4 linked regions of the Macaca fascicularis genome follow. The protein of the gene in region 3 interacts with the protein of the main gene of each other region in a pairwise test. Links are inferred from orthologs where the notes say so. Each region holds a gene or a part of one and is shown on either strand. Other genes may lie near its edges. The genes, in order: ARFGAP1, GLRX3, GRN and FAM76B.

Evidence for each region.
Region 1: the proteins of GRN (region 3) and ARFGAP1 interact in binary tests that used the Homo sapiens proteins (3 or more experiments, as listed by UniProt). The two-hybrid records come from large-scale screens. The link is inferred for Macaca fascicularis from reciprocal best matches to the Homo sapiens genes GRN and ARFGAP1.
Region 2: the proteins of GRN (region 3) and GLRX3 interact in binary tests that used the Homo sapiens proteins (3 or more experiments, as listed by UniProt). The link is inferred for Macaca fascicularis from reciprocal best matches to the Homo sapiens genes GRN and GLRX3.
Region 4: the proteins of GRN (region 3) and FAM76B interact in binary tests that used the Homo sapiens proteins (3 or more experiments, as listed by UniProt). The link is inferred for Macaca fascicularis from reciprocal best matches to the Homo sapiens genes GRN and FAM76B.

What each region holds. Positions count from the first base shown.
Region 1 is NC_088384.1:119,400,635-119,404,194, forward strand, and holds part of ARFGAP1 (ADP-ribosylation factor GTPase-activating protein 1), read left to right. Parts: intron 1-432; coding exon 433-747; intron 748-1,145; coding exon 1,146-1,222; intron 1,223-2,405; coding exon 2,406-2,715; 3' UTR 2,716-3,560. UniProt on the Homo sapiens protein: GTPase-activating protein (GAP) for the ADP ribosylation factor 1 (ARF1). Involved in membrane trafficking and /or vesicle transport.
Region 2 is NC_088383.1:139,103,847-139,107,900, reverse strand, and holds the start of GLRX3 (glutaredoxin-3), read right to left. Parts: upstream 2,820-4,054; 5' UTR 2,798-2,819; coding exon 2,706-2,797; intron 1-2,705. UniProt on the Homo sapiens protein: Together with BOLA2, acts as a cytosolic iron-sulfur (Fe-S) cluster assembly factor that facilitates [2Fe-2S] cluster insertion into a subset of cytosolic proteins.
Region 3 is NC_088390.1:65,406,471-65,410,573, reverse strand, and holds the start of GRN (progranulin), read right to left. Parts: upstream 2,829-4,103; 5' UTR 2,796-2,828; exon of another isoform or gene 2,388-2,795; intron 1-2,387. UniProt on the Homo sapiens protein: Secreted protein that acts as a key regulator of lysosomal function and as a growth factor involved in inflammation, wound healing and cell proliferation. Regulates protein trafficking to lysosomes, and also the activity of lysosomal enzymes.
Region 4 is NC_088388.1:94,801,365-94,805,405, forward strand, and holds the start of FAM76B (protein FAM76B), read right to left. Parts: upstream 2,827-4,041; 5' UTR 2,521-2,826; coding exon 2,434-2,520; intron 2,030-2,433; exon of another isoform or gene 1,915-2,029; coding exon of another isoform or gene 1,906-1,914; intron 1,601-1,905; coding exon 1,536-1,600; intron 709-1,535; coding exon 654-708; intron 1-653. Other genes in the region: CEP57 (centrosomal protein of 57 kDa), read left to right, coding at 3,745-3,789. UniProt on the Homo sapiens protein: Negatively regulates the NF-kappa-B-mediated inflammatory pathway by preventing the translocation of HNRNPA2B1 from the nucleus to the cytoplasm.

The sequences.
Region 1 (3,560 bases), on a different chromosome or scaffold from region 3:
GCCCACCTCCATCCTCTGCCTCACCCCCACAGCGGGCCTTGGAGCTGTGCCCAGAGGAGGCTCTGGTACGGGAATGATGCCCACTATCCTCGGGGGTCGAGAGCCCCGCCAGCTCCCTGCCTCCTTCGGGGCTTGACTGGGACAAGCAGGGCAGGCACCCCCGGGGCAGCGTGGGCGTCCTCAGGTCATGTTGCTATTTGTCAGCAGCGGCTGGCGGGGCCACGTCTGCAGACACCAGGCCTCGCAATGACGTGGGCTCTTGATGCTGGAATCCGTTTGGGGCCCCTGTAGGACTTTCTGGGGCTCAGCCTGACGGGTGTCCCCAGGCCCCTGTTACTTTGGATGCCCTCACGCTGGGGATTCCTGCACTCCTGAAGCTTTAAGCTTTAATCTCTGCCGCCCCCATTAATGCTGCCGTCTTAATCCGTGCAGGTGAAGGAGGGAAAGATTTTTGATGATGTATCCAGTGGGGTCTCTCAGTTGGCGTCCAAGGTAGGGAGCCTGCCGCATGTGCGGGCACAGTCAAAGCCAGTCTCCATATTCCACGGCCCTGGGCGTGAGAGCAGGGTGTGCCCCGTGCAGCCCCCAGCCTGCCTTGGCAGTGGCTGCTGTCCTCTTGAGATGGGAGGAGGGCTGCCCGGCCTGATGGCCCGAGGCATATGGAAACAGCTTGGCCCACTGCGGCCCGGTCAGCCACTAACTGCCACTTCTCCTGCTCTTACCTTGCTGCCACTGGCCTTTTCCTCGGTAAGTGCCAGCGCCGTCTTAGCTGCCATTGGTCTCACTGCTCTGCGGGCCATTCGGGGCGTGCATTTTGTCCTGTTTCCTGGCATGAGGTGCTCTGCAGACGGGGAGGGAAGAGCAGGTCTCGGTCCTCTCCCCCGAGCACGTGGTGGGAGCTCTCGAGGTCTGTGCCCGAGGCTGTCCTCACTGCCGTGTCCCGCATGCACCTGGTGCCACTGCGGCGTGGCTGTGCGTGTCTGTGTCTGTACGCGTGTGCGCGGCACTCCTTGTTTCTGGATGTTTCTGGATTTTACCCGGGTCTTTTCAGCGGGATGGCGTGTGCCAGCTTGCGTGTGGGGGCCTCCAAAAGCTGCCTGTGCCGCGACAGGGCCTTCCTAACCTCTCTTCCCATCGCCTTCCAGGTCCAGGGAGTCGGTAGTAAGGGATGGCGGGACGTCACCACCTTTTTTTCGGGGAAAGCAGAGGGCCCCTTGGACAGGTACGCTGTGTCCCCTCCTGGGCCTTGCGTCCCGCTCCCCTGCCTCGGCCACTCCTCCCATAGGCTGTCGGGGAGGTGGTCGGCATCGTTGCTGGGGAGGGGAGGGGGGCGCTGTGGAAGGCTCTCTGAGTGCTCTGCAGCTGCAGAGGCCTGTCCTCCCTCTCTGCCCTGACTGGGCTCCCCAGGCTAGGGTGGGAGGGAGGGTCTCACCCACACGCCCCCACGTAGGAGGAGCTGGCCCTACTCTGCTGTTCCTCTGTCTTCCAGACTCTGGGTGGGTGGAGCAGGTGGGGGGCCGGGGACAGGAGGGCTGGGGGCCCCAGAGACCTGTCCTGGCCCCCATGTCCAGCTCTGCCCTTAGCGCTGGGCACCCCAGGCATTTCTGCTGGAAGCTGGCTGCTTTTCTCGGCCTCTGACTCCAGCAGGGGAACCACAGGGGATCTCGTAGGGCCTGGCCTTGTGCTGTCTACTGAGAGGCCAATGCTGGTGGGCACAGATGCGCTGCCCCCTAGGTGGGCCCAAATTTTCCCTGAGACGCCCTTCTCTTCCCTCTGTGTGTGTGGTTTTTCAGTGATGTGATTGCAGCTGAGGACAGAGGGCAGGGCCTGGTTCGGGGCCGGCGTAGCGGAGGACAGAGGGCAGGGCCTGGTTCGGGGCCGGCGTAGCGGAGGACAGAGGGCAGGGCCTGGTTCGGGGCCGGCGTAGCGGAGGACAGAGGGCAGGGCCTGGTTCGGGGCCGGCGTAGCTGAGGACAGAGGGCAGGGCCTGGTTCGGGGCCGGCGTAGCGGAGGACAGGGCAGGGCCTGGTTCAGGCTGGCATAGCTGAGGGTATTGCTCAGAAGAGCCTGTGTCCCAGCTTGAGGGCGGTGCCCCTGCCCCTCCCCACTTGACTAAACCACTGTTTTATCGCAGCAGTTTGGAGCTGGTAGAAAAAGAAGTTTTTAGTAGAACTATCCTGCAGTTTGGGTGATTGATAGAGTGGGCCTTGGTTCTCCAGCTCCCCAGCAGTTTCCACTGCTATGAAGTGGGAGAAACAGCTCCCGCCTGGTGGGGCTGCTGTGGACCCCGAGCGCTGGCCTGGGAAGGTGGTCACTGTCCAGGTGCAGAGCTTTCGGGGGCACAGAATTCCCAGTGGTGGGCTAAGTAACAGTCATTCAGAATCCCCCTTCTGTCTCTTTAAAAGCCCCTCGGAGGGCCACAGTTACCAGAACAGCGGTCCGGACCACTTCCAAAACAGCACCATAGACCAGAGTTTCTGGGAGACCTTTGGAAGTGCTGAGCCCACCAAGGCCCGCAAGTCCCCAAGCAGCGACAGCTGGACGTGCGCGGACACCTCCACCGAGAGGAGGAGCTCGGACAGCTGGGAGGTGTGGGGCTCGGCCTCCACCAACAGGAACAGCAACAGCGACGGTGGGGAGGGCGGGGAGGGTGCCAAGAAGGCAGTGCCACTGGCCGTGCCCGCCGACGATGGCTGGGACAACCAGAACTGGTAGGGCCCACCGCGCCCCTGTCCCCAGCGCCCCCAGGCGACTTCATGTTTGCACTCTGCCCTCATCGTTCCTCCTCCTTTCATTTGACCCAAGAATCAGTGACTGCAGTGTGAGGACAGCGTCTCGGGAGGCAGGACCCCAGGGAGACTCAGGTTCTCACCGCCTGCCACGAGGGGTTCTCGGTGCGTGGGAGCGGCCTGCTCTCCAGCCTGGGCGGGGGCCATCCCGTCCTACACTCCCCTGGGCATTCTTGGACTCAAGGCAGGGGCTCTTCGTGGTTTGCTGGGAGGTGGGCTGCAGCACAGAGCCCTGTGACTGTTCACTACGCAGTATCTCGGGGCTGGGACCAGCCCCGTGCCGAGCTGTCAGCGACGTGAGGTGTCCCTTCTCCTTGAGATACTTAACTTTGGGTTTGCTCTAGTTCTTTCTTTTTGAAGAGAGTGACGGGAGTGGTAAAGATGGAAACGCTAAAAGCGATACTGGCGCTCACACTGCCGTCCGACCACCCTCGGCTCCCACGTCCACGCCTGCCTGGGCCTGTGCGGTCAAACCTGTGTCGGTCGTGACCCTCCGTGGCTTCCCTGCATCCGCACTGTCTAACCACCAAGTTCACCAGACACAGCCCCCACAATAGCCACACCCACACCTGAGCTGTTCTCAGTGCTGGGACTTGACCATCCTGGAACACCCTGGAAGAAAAAGGAGCGCAGGGTGGGCCCTCGGCCCTGAGGCAGGAGGGCACGACAGCGGTGTGGCCTGGCAGGAGAGCCCCGGGCTCAGGAGCTGAGCAGGGATGCCTGTGCGCGGTGCCTGGGGCTGCCCTACAGACTGGTGCCCGCCACGTGCCG
Region 2 (4,054 bases), on a different chromosome or scaffold from region 3:
GTCTCAAAAAAAAAAAAAAAAAAAAAAAAAAACTTTTATCCATTTTGATAGTTTAAGGACTTTTTAAAACATGAAGCATTTAAAACAAACATATAAAACACATAGACAAAACAGTCTTTTCAGGTGATGGTAAATTCAAAACGTTTACTTAGGGCAGGTCCACACAAGACCACCTGCTCATTTCAAGAGGTCACTTCTGGTGACTCCCGTGATTGTGCTGATCTGTACTGGATGAGTCAGAGCCCAGCTTCCATCAGTGAGTAAATGTCACATGTCCCCCCGACAATCCCTGCTTTTTTTCCTTAACAATTTCCCAGGTAAACCTGAAATGCCTAAAGAGCTGTGTTATTTCATCACCCCCATAAAGCATTTCTAACCATTAGTCAGTAACTCTCACCCCTCCCCCTTTCCAAAGGCAACACCCCATCTCACCTGCACTCTCCATTGCAAAATCAGAGTATACTACTTGCCTCTAATTCAAATTCAGTCAGCAAAATTTCACTCCATTTAGATCAACAGTGCTGGTCACGGTGGCTCAAGCCTGTAATCCCAATACTTTACAAGGCCGAGGCAGGTGAATCACTTGAGCTCAGGAGTTCCAGAGACCAGCCTGGGCAACATGAAGAAACCCTGTCTCGCCGGGCGCGGTGGCTCAAGCCTGTAATCCCAGCACTTTGGGAGGCCGAGACGGGCGGATCACGAGGTCGGGAGATCGAGACCATCCTGGCTAACACAGTGAAACCCCGTCTCTACTAAAAATACAAAAAAAAAAAAAACTTAGCCGGGCTAGGTGGCGGGCGCCTGTAGTCCCAGCTACTCGGGAGGCTGAGGCAGGAGAATGGCGTAAACCCGGGAGGCGGAGCTTGCAGTGAACTGAGATCCGGCCACTGCACTCCAGCCTGGGTGACAGAGCAAGACTCCGTCTCAAAAAAAAAAAAAAAAGAAACCCTGTCTCTACGAAAAATACACAAATTAGCCCAGCGTGGTGGACCGCACGTGTAGTCCCAGCTACTCAGGAGGCTGTGGTGGGAGGATCGCCTGAACCCAGGAGGTAGAGGCTGCAGTGAGCCGAGATCACGCCACTGCACTCAGCCTGGGCAACAGAGCAACAGCCTGTTTTGAAAACAAAACAAAACAAAATCTGGATCAATAAGCATTTTTGGCCAGATGTGGTAGCTCACACCTGTAATCCCAACCCTTTAGTAGGCTGAGGAGGATAGATCGCTTGAGTCCAGAAGGTCGAGACAAGGCTGGGCAACGCGGAGAGACCTCGTCTCTACAAAAAAAATATAAAAATTAGCCGGGCGTGGTGGTGAGCACCTGTGGTCCCAGCTACTCGAGAGGCTAAGATGCGAGGATGAGGTGGGTGGATCACTTGAGCCTGGGAGGCTGAGGCTGCAGGGAGCCGTGATCACTCCCCTACACTGCAGCCTAGGTGACTGAGCCAGACCCTGTCTCAAAAACAAAACAAAACAAAGTATATTTTGCCTGTGAATTCCATGAACCACTCTGCTTCCTACCGAAGGGCCAACATCTACTGAGTGTTTCCTGCATACTAGGCATTGTATTAATTGTATTTTACATACGTCATCTCATTTAACCCTCACAACAACCCTGAGGTACTAATAGGTGCTGATCTATTTCATCGTTGGGAAACTGAGGCTTGGGTATGAAATGTGCCCAGGGGTTACACGGCTAGTGAGTGGCTGCGGTGGGACTGGATCCCAGGCAATCCGACAGAAGAGCTCCCGTAGCAACCGCTATTAATACAACTAAGAGAACAACTCAGTCCTTGGAGTAGTCTACAATGTGAGGTATTACCACGGGGAGTCCACGCGCAGACCTTTCCCCGCAAACACGCACGCCAGTAAGCATTTACTCGTAAGCATGCTTGCAGTTCAGAGCTTCTAGTCCACCCAGAAACCGTTTTCTATGCATTCCTATGGATCTCCTTTTGTCTTCCCGGGATGGAAGACTTGACACCGGCGCCAAATCTGAACAGACTCTCACTACACCAGTTCATGGAACAGGAAACCTCTGTCTCCGGCAACAGGTTCGGTCTGAAGACTGAGGCTACCTGCTGACCAACAAACTTTAAAGGCTGACTTCAAAAGGCAGCCAGGCCTAGCTAATGCAGCGGGGCCTTCCCCAGCCGCTCTTCCTGCGACAGGGGCGTTCCTGAAGGGAGGCTGAAGAGGAATGGGCCGACGACGGGTCTGCAGCTCCCTCCCGGCGGGCACAGGAAAGGTGGAGCCCGCAGCCATGGGTCCCCGCTCCGTGGCGCGGTGGGCCGGGGTCTCGGCACCGCCCCGTCCCCCGCCCCGCCGCTGCGGCAAGGCTGAGTCACCGCCTCCGTCCCGCTGCGGGGCCGCCCAGGCCAGAGGACGGGAAGGTCGCGTCCCCCGGGCTTGGACAGCCGTCGGGGTCGGAGCGAGGGCCGGGGCCGGGGCTGCGAGAAAAGCCTCGAGCCCTGCTCGCTGTTCCGGGGCGGGGAGCCCGCGGTTCGGGCCAGTCAGCGCCGGAGGCTCGGGGGAATCCCGGGTTGGGCCGGGCCCGGTCCCCCGAGGCCGAAGCGAGCCGGGCGCCAAGGAGCCGGGCTGGGCCACCCGCCGCCCCACACCGGCCCGGTCTCGCGGCCACTCCCGGCCCGGTCTCGCGGCCTCTCCCGCCGGCTCCTCACTCCTGCCACTCGCCGCCTCGCTTACTTGGCTTTGAGGCGCAGCAGCTCCTCAAACTGCCCGGCTGAGCCGACCTCCTCCAGCGCCGCTACAGCTGCCTCAGCCGCCCCCGCCGCCATGCTGCCGCCGCCAGACAGAAGCAATCGCGTGCCGGCGGCCGGATGTAGGCGGGCCCGCGGAGAGCTTAGCGGCTGCGCGAGGGAAAGCCCCGCCCCTGCCTGCGCTGACGCTACAGAGCCTGAGAAATCCCAGAAAGGGCCTCGGCCGCGGGCGCTGAATCCCGCTGGGTGGCTCTGGATCCCGCTGAGGGGCTCTGACCCTGCCAGGTCTGGGCACTCCGCTGCGGACCTCCTGGCTTCCGGAGTTCATGGCTGTCATGGTTCCTGGCTGTCAGGGCTGTCGGGGCTCCCTGGCTGTAGTGGCTCCTGGCTGTAGGCGCTCCTGGCCCTATAAGGGCTTCTGGCTATAGTGGCTTCTGGCCGTCCAGGCCCCTGGCTGTAGGGGTTCCTGGCTGTAATGGCTCCTGGCTGTCGGGACCCCTGGATGTCGGGGTTCCTGGCTGTAGGGGCTCCTGGCTGTAGGCGCTCCTGGCTATAGTGGCTTCTGGCTGTCGGGACCCCTGGATGTCGGGGTTCCTGGCTGTAGGGGCTCCTGGGTGTTAGAGTTCCTGGCTTTCTGGCTATAGTAGGGGCTCCTGGGTGTCAGGGTTCCTTGCTGTCAGTACTCCTGGTGGTAGAGGCTTCTGGCTGTTGGGGTTCCTGGGTGTCGGGGCTCCTGGCTGTCAGGGTTCCTGGCTGTCAGGGCACTTGACTCCTTAGGCTCCTGGCTTTTGGGGCTCCAGACCTTCCTTGCACTTCCTGTGTCTCCTGGGTCTGCAATAGTGAGAAGGGGCCGGTGGAGGAGTGGGGGTGAGACGTGAGTGCAAGTGAAATCAGATATGTACATTTAGGAAGCTGAAATTATCAAAAATGAAATTGCATAAAGGTGAGGAAGAACTGGGAGGTTTTGGGAACAGAAGTGGTAGATCTTGAACTTCAACACAGACCCGGTGCTTCCAACTCAGTCCTGAATTCAGACCTGAACCTGGAGCCCACAGCATGTCCCTCCTCTCCTGGCCTCCGCACCTGCCACCACTCATTGCAGCCCCACCAAGCCATCACCCATTGTAACCTCAGAACAATGGATTCTGCTGGGTGGGTCCACTGGGTTGGGGGCATGGGTCCAAGATCCCTGCATTCCTCCTCCCTGGCCTCCTCAAGTGGTCCCTGGCTTGTCTTTCTCCCTTGGGAATCCCCCTGATTTGGGCTCTCCATGTGGCGTACTCTGTATCCCCATGCTTCCCACACACTTTCTGGCCTGAGTAATCTCCACTCCCC
Region 3 (4,103 bases):
TCACCACACCTGGCCTCACCTTTACTTTTTTGTTTGTTTGTTTGAGACGGACTCTCCCTGTCTCCCAGGCTGGAGTGCAGTGGTGCTATCTCAGCTCACTGCAAGCTCCACCTCCTGGGTTCACGCCATTCTCCTGCCTCAGCCTCCTGAGTAGCTGGGACTACAGGCGCCTGCCAGCACGCTCGGCTAATTTTTTGTATTTTAGTAGAGACGGGGTTTCACTGTGTTAGCCAGGATGGTCTCGATCTCCTGACCTCGTGATCCACCCACCTCGGCCTCCCAGAGTGCTGGGATTACAGGCGTGAGCCACCACGCCCAGCCACTTTTACTTTCAAAGGAAGAAACTGAAGCTCAGAGATGTTAAGTACAGTCAGCCCTCCGTATCCAACCAGAGATCAAAAAATATTGGGTGTGGTGGCTCACACCTCTAATCCCAGCACTTTGGGAGGCCTAAGTGGGCGGATCACGAGGTCAGGAGTTCGAGACCAGCCTGACCAACATGGTGAAACCCCCATCTCTACTAAAAATACAAAAATTAGCCATGCGTGGTAGTGCACACCTGTAATCCCAGCTACTCAAGAGGCTGAGGCAGGAAAACGCTTGAGCCCAGGAGGTGGGGGTTGCAGTGAGTGGAGGAGATCGTGCCACCATACTCCAGCCTGGGTGATAGAGCGAGACTGAGATTCCGTCTCACAAAACAAAACAAAAACCCCAGAAAATGTTACATTGTTGCTGAGGTATACTATGTAGTTAGGCTTAGGATGGGTGCATCTATACTGAACATGTACAGATTGTTCTTTCTTATTATTCCCTAAACAATTCAGGATCACAACTATTTACATGGCATTTCTTTTTCTTTTCTTTTTTTAAATTTATTTATTATTATTATACTTTAAGTTGTAGGGTACATGTGCATAACGTGCAGGTTTGTTATATATGTATACTTGTGCCATGTTGGTGTGCTGCACTCTTTTTCTTTTCTTTTCTTTTCTTTTTTTTTTTGAGACGGAGTCTTGCTCTGACGCCCAGGCTGTAGTACAGTGGCGCAATCTCAGCTCACTGCAACCTCTGCCTCCCGGGTTCAAGCAATTCTCCTGCCTCAGCTTCCTGAGCAGCCTCCTGAGTCTGCTACCACACCTGGCTAATTTTTGTATTTTTAGTAGAGATAGGGGTTTCACCATGTTGGCCAGGCTGCCAGTCTCGAACTCCTGACCTCAGGTGATCCACCCACCACAGTCTCCCAAAGTGTGGGGATTACAGGCATGAGCCACCGTGCCCAGCCAACATGGCATTTCCATTGTATTAGGCATAAGTAATCTAGAAATGATTTAAAGTATGTATAGGTTATATGCAAATATCACACCATTTTGTATCAAGGACTTGAGCACCCAGACTTTGGGGTCCTGGAACCAGTTCCATGAAGATACCAAGGGACACCGATAACATGTCACACATCAGGTCATGGTGACGACAGGCTTTGATGGCCCCAGAGCGTATTGGACCTGGGTTAATATCACTAGTGGCACAATGGGCAGTGCCTGAGAATGGACCCCTACGCCCCAGGGGGATAGGTGCAACAGGTACCACAGAAACAGGGACTGCCTGGAAATCGCACTTGAGTCCTAATCCTGGAATTGCCAACTGTGAGGGCCTGAGAAGTTGCTCCCTGTCTGTGCCTCAGTTCCCCCACGAGTCTTGTGTGGATATCATTGGAGGGGGGAAGGGCAGGAAATGTCACCCACCCAGTCACTCACATCCTCTCTGCTCCAATTGGCTTTCCTCAAGTGCCCCTCCCCTAACTCAGCATCCCGAAGAGGCCACCTCCTGGACAGATAAGGATGCAGTTGACTGGTCCTGGACAGTGGACCCTCTCCTCAGCCCCACAGCTCCCAGGCAAAGCACCTGCAGCTGGCACCGCCTACTTCCTGCGTGTTCTCAGCAGGCTGTCCGCTGCCCTGGCTTGCTGGGAAGGGGAGTCTGTCTGCACAGGAGTGTTCAGCTCTCTGGTGAGTTACCTGTGCATGGCCCCTCCTGTTTACCCTGAGTTGAGGGAGTATAGTGTATGCTTCTACTGAATACATGCACACACATACAGAAACAGGGATGAGGAGGCGAGTCGCAGTCTCTCACGCCACCCTACACCGCCAAAACAGCCAGAGGGGACAGCAGCCTCTTCAAGACCCTAGCTCCGTTATCTTCCACTAGGTGGCAGCCCCCAACTCCGAGTGCCAAGGGGAGAGGAAATTCCCAAAAGGGGAGCCAGCCTAGCTGCAACTGAGCAGGAAAAAGTGGCTGGGAGAGGCGGAAGTTAGCTCGTCCCACCCCCAAAAAGAGGAAGTAAGGAGGAGCCAGACCAGGTTCAGTCACCACTCCCAAGTCCCTACTACCTTCGAGAAGCCAAGGTTTCAGGTCCCGTTCCCAGGCCCTCGGAGCTCCCAGCCCAGGGTCGCGCGCCCCTCCGGCTTCAGGCCGCCGCGGGAACCACCCACCACCACCACGAGAGGGAAAGAAGCCGGCACCTACCGACAGGGGTGGAGCTGAGTCAAGAATGGTGTGGTCCCTGCTTTGGGGGAATGCTGGGGAGGTAGAAAGCCCCCTTCTAACAGAGGTCACTGCAGTTACTGCTTCCTCTTTCCCATAAAACTCCCTCTAGTGTATCAGAACCCCCAAGGAGTTTCAATAAGCGGTTCTTGTCTTGTCTCCGGCTGAGACTCCCGGGGAACCTCAAGCTCACATGGCCCTAGCCGGGCCCCTGGGCAGGAGCAGGCCAGAGGTCTGCGCGGCCGCCCTCCTACCTGCGTCCGGGTCCGCGGTCCCTGGGCAGCAGCAACCGGGCAGCGCTCAGACTACAGATCCCAGCGCGGTGACCCGCCTACCTCAGTTTCCATTGGCCAGGGATCAGGGCTGCCGCACTCCCATTGGCTACTTATCAATGTGGAGGTGGGGCCAGCCTGGAATGCTGTGTTTCTTTTCTACTCAAATCACTCTCCTCCCCGCTTCCTCTCGCCCTACACCCCATTTCTAGGGATCATGTGATTGGAAAATCATGTGACGCCGGGCCAGCCTCAGCAGGGCAGCTGGTGCTCGTCGCCTTCCTTCACCCATCCTGCAGGTGCCTGGGGGAGTTTGCTAGAGATGATAGCGCGTGTCTGGGGCATTGACAGTGCGAGGGACTGTTATGAATTGGGAATATTTGTGCTCCTCTTTCTATTCTTTTGTTTGTTTGTTTGTTTTGAGATGGAGTCTCACTCTGTCGCCAAGCTGGAGTGCAGTGGCACGATCTCGGCTCACTGCAACCTCTGCCTCCCGGGTTCAAGCGATTCTCCTGCCTCAGTCTCCCGAATAGTTGGGACTACAGGCGCGCGCCACCAAGTCCAGCTAATTTTTGTATTTTTAGTAGAGACGGGGTTTCACCATGTTGGCCAGGATGGTCTTGATCTCTTGACCTCGTGATCCGCCCGCCTCGGCCTCCCAAAGCGCTGGGATTACAGGCCTAAGCCACCGCACCCGACCTTGTGTGTTTGTTTTAGAGAAAGGGTCTCGCTCGGTCGCCCAAGCTGATCATAGCTCACTGCGGCCTGCAACTCCTGCTCCCAAAGCGATTCTCCTACCGCAGGCCCCCGAGGAACTGGGATTACAGGTGTGAGCTACCGGGCTCACTCGCTCCTATCCTATCCTATCCTGCCCTGTCCTGTCCTGCTCTATTCTGCAAACTCGGATGACATGCTAGGCAGGGCCCAGAGTGAGTTGAAGGATGGTTTCCAGGACAAAGATAAACAGCCCAAAAGCCCTTTCCTCCAGGTGCTCAGCAGGACAGGGGGCAGGGATTGGTGGGAGACAGTCTCAGGCTGAATCTAATTTAATATACAAGGTCGTGCGCCAGTTGCCAGGTGTGGGAGAGGAAGTAGATTGTCTACAGGTGGGGAAGAAGATATTTCATTCCACCTTAGAAGCATCTCCTTGAGCTGAGTTTGGGAAGATTTTAACTGGCAGGTGGAGGAGGTGGTGTTGGGAAGAGCCTTGGGAAACCAGATGGGAAGGGCAGGCTTGGCAGGGATTGAATGCTATGTTCAATGCCAGTGGGCTTCAGGAGCTGCTAGGTG
Region 4 (4,041 bases), on a different chromosome or scaffold from region 3:
TAAAAATAGTTCTGAAGAGGTCGTTCTGAAGTGGGCTAAAGTCTGATCACGCAAACTTCATGGATAAGCTCTCCATAACCAAGAATTTGCTATATTTGAATCTTTAAAGAATAGCTTCACAAATTTCACACTGATATTCAATACATGTAAAACAGGCATATAATTTGACTGTTTTTAAATGTTGTCACCTTTCCATCAAAATATCTATGGAAGATTTCTTTCATAAAATATGGTATGTTGAAATACATAAGAGCACAGCAGTACATCTTTTTTTTTTTTTTTTGAGACGGGGTCTTGCTCTGTTGCCCAGGCTGGAATGCAGTGGCAGGATCTCGGCTCATTGCAAACTCCGCCTCTCGAGTTCACGCCATTCTCCTGCCTCAACCTCTGGAGTAGCTGGGACTACAGGCGCCCACGACCATGCCCGGCTAATTTTTTTTTTTTTTTTTTTTTTCAGTAGAGACGGGGTTTCACTGTGTTAGCCAGGATGGTCTCGATCTCCTGACCTCGTGATCTGCCTGCCTTGGCCTCCCAAAGTGATAGATTACAGGCGTGAGCCACTGCGCCCGGCCAGCAGTATGTACTTTTTAAAAGGTCCAGCTTTGTGAAAAATATTAACTGGTAACAATGACATGAAAACATGACATACTTACCGTCCCAAATTGCTTCACATTTTGAGCACACTTCTTACAAATTGTGTTAGTTTTGCTGAAAAAGAAATTGTATATAGATCATGTTTATGTAGCATTCTAAAGCAATTAGCACAATGTCAAAATAAAATGAGTCAAAGATTTGTAGTACTTAAAACTTACTCTAATATGGACCACGGATTTTTCTCAAAAACACAAGGATCTTTTCAGAGTTGTTTTACCCAAATTAACTTAAGACAAATATTTTTATACATTTTTATTGTGTATTTCTTTTTGTACACAAAACATCACAATGTTTCCTATATAGCTCCAAAATCTTCACACTTGCCACTATTAATGCACAGCATTACAATACCACTGCCTACCTAACCCTCCACTTGGCTATTGTCCAACATTATAATGCCCACACCTATTTAAGAAGAAATTATTTGTTCTTTTCTGAGGCTACTTTCTGTATATACTCTCAGAGCGGAAGTAACTGTTAAAAATGTTACGTACTACTCCTCTTCCATGTAACAAATTACTACATTTCACCCTTGGACGGCAGTTGGTAACACTACAGACTTTTCCTCAGGTCCATTAAGGCTTTACCTTTTTTTTTTAGCGTAACAGTAACTGTTTACATTTGCATTTTCATTAGCAAGGCTGTACATTTTCCACATAGTAATTTATTCTGTCTCATATAAAGTGTAACGGTAAATTAACAACCCCTGGTTTTTCTGGCAACATTCTCTCCCACCATGTATAAAAGGTTTACAACTTAAAATTTCTGGGGCTAAACCATTTTTTAAAAATACTTTCACAAAAATATGGGATTACAACCCCCAAATATTCCATACAGACAACACTTGTCTTTAACAGTCAAAAACTGTTCAGTATACAAACCTCTCTTGTTGAAATTCTGATCTGCAGTAAGTACATTTTACAATAGGATGTGCAATCCGACATTCCTGTAATAAGACAATACATTAGTCGGTATCTATCTGAAAGTCCCAAATGTCACTTTTCTGGTAGAAAATTGTTTACCCAACCTAGTTAAATGTCTAAAATATTGATAAAACCTGGCCCCAACGTAAGGAACTGGATGCTTTATCATATAAGTGGCCAATCACAATATAATTCCTCAGGGAAGGCATAGGTGTCTTTGTCTTTAGTAGACGTGGGATATATTACAGACAAATTAAGAAAGCTGTCAGGGCCGATTTCAAGGATTGGTTAAATGTGAAACTACTTATTATTTTGCACCGTTGCTCACAGACAGCATCCTGGCTTTAATGGGATGGGAGGAGCTCCAAATCAGAGCATTCTGTTCCCAAACCAGTCGCTTCGCTTTCCTGGACAGGGAAGAAGGATGCCATCAGCTTTGCGGCTTCGGGTTCCTAGCAAGAAAGTGCAAAAATCGTCCCCTGCCTCCTGGTGGAAGAAGAGGACAGACTAGGCAGAAAACCGAGATGAAAACATCTCCACCCCTGGGTCTCTGCGGTATAGACAGGTGGCTGCCTCACTCAACCCCACCTCTGAGACCCCTCAGACGCTGACGGGGTTCGGCACCCGCCCGGGCCGCCTGGAAGAGGGCACGATTCTGCCTCCCTCTCAGGGGCCGTTCCCAGCTGATGTTCAAGCCCCCAGAAAAAGGGGTCCCCGAGTGGGGAGGCGGGGACACCAGACTCCCAAACCCCCGAGGCGCCGGCAAAGAGAGAGGGGCTGCAGTGCAGCGGCTACCCGGCCCCCTCCGGCTACGACCGAGGACATCCATCCCGCCCTCCTCCCGGAGGCCACGGACCTTGCAGAGCTGCTGGCCCTGGGAGAGCTCCTCGAAGGGATAGCGTTGGGTACACTTGGTGCAGGCGTATAGGGCCGAGGCCGCCATCCTGCTCCTCAGTCTCCTCCTCCGCCGCCGCCCGCTCCGAGGCGGGGCCCTACGGAGAACTCGAGACCCGCCGCCGCCGCCCGGGCCGCGGGCTCCTCCTCCTCCCCCTCCCCCTGCCTCGCGCCCACCAGGGCCTCGCCGCCAGAGCCCAGGGCCCCGCGGACGACGCCACCGTCTCCCTCCGCCTCCACTTCCGCCCCAGCCCACCCAGTGACGCCGTGCCAGCCGCTCCCGCTTAGGCCCCGATAGCGGCGGAGGGAGACGAAGCGGGTAGGGGTTGCTGTTTAGCTGCGCGACCGCGGATCCGCTTCCTTCTCGGCCTCCCTTCCCCATCCCTGATTGGCTGCGGAGGCCACGCGTCACTCGGTGGCTCCTCCCAACTTCCAACTTCCGCGACGCCTGGAGCGCCCACAAAGGGAGGATGTCGCCGGCCAATGAGAGCCCGGAGCTCTCAGCGCGCGAAATCCGCTTTGAACCTGCCCCGCCCAAAGGTCTGCGGTCGCGGCTATTTCTAACAGCCAGTCCCAGGTTTGGGTGAGAGCGCCCCAATCCAATTGGGCAAATGTTGGCGAAAGGCTCGTTCTCTGCCGCAACTTTTTTATCCTTGCTTTCTATTGGACTAAGTCGTTAAGTCCCTCCTAATCCTATTTGTTATTGGCCAAAAGGTAAGTACTTCACCTGGAGAGGCGTCCCCGAGGCAAACTCACGCTCTCTCCTGCGTTTAATCCGAGGGAACTCGTGGAGTGCTTTAACTTCGCCTTCGCTTTTGTTTTATCTCCATTACTCCGTTCGGTTGCCACTGGCGACAACACTACTCGCCCACGCTTCTTACTGGAGGAGACCCGCCCCACCGTAGAATCCCCGCAGAGCCGGCCAGTAGCCCGCGGCGTTGTCGGCCCCCAGCAGGCCCAGTTACGCGCTACCTTGTGACGTCACCAGGGAAGAGGCGGATTCTCTCCTGCTACTAAAAGACGTCTGCTGTTTTGATTGGCTAGGGAAGACGTCCGTTAGGACGTGTTGCCTTTTCTGTGTACGGTGTGAGCGTAGGCGGCTCTGAGGGGGTGTGTGGCAGGGGTTTCCAAGCCGAGCACCAGCACCGTTGCCCTTTTCCATCAGGGGTTCAGCCCAGGGTCGCCCCTGGTGGGCGGCTCCCGAGTCTTGGAGAAGAGCACGAGAACCCAGACCGCCCCCAAGGTGCGGAGACCCCCCTGGGCAGGCTGAAAGATGGCGGCGGCGTCTGTCTCTGCGGCTTCTGGTTCCCAGTTGTCGGTAAGCAGCAGTTGGCGCGAGTGGTCCCCACATCGGTCCCAAGCGCCTCTTTGAGTTTCCTCACTTTCAGGGCTCTGTCAGTCCAGCTTCTGAGTCAATTCCGGAGGACGGCGGGAGTGCCTAGATTGCCCCGCGCTCCCCAAGCTTCCATTCACTGTTCCTCTGTCGAGACTGCACCCTCTGGCTTCCAGTGAAACTGGAACGGAGACTGGCCGTCTCTGTTCCCCATCCTTCATTCACCTTTCGGCGTAG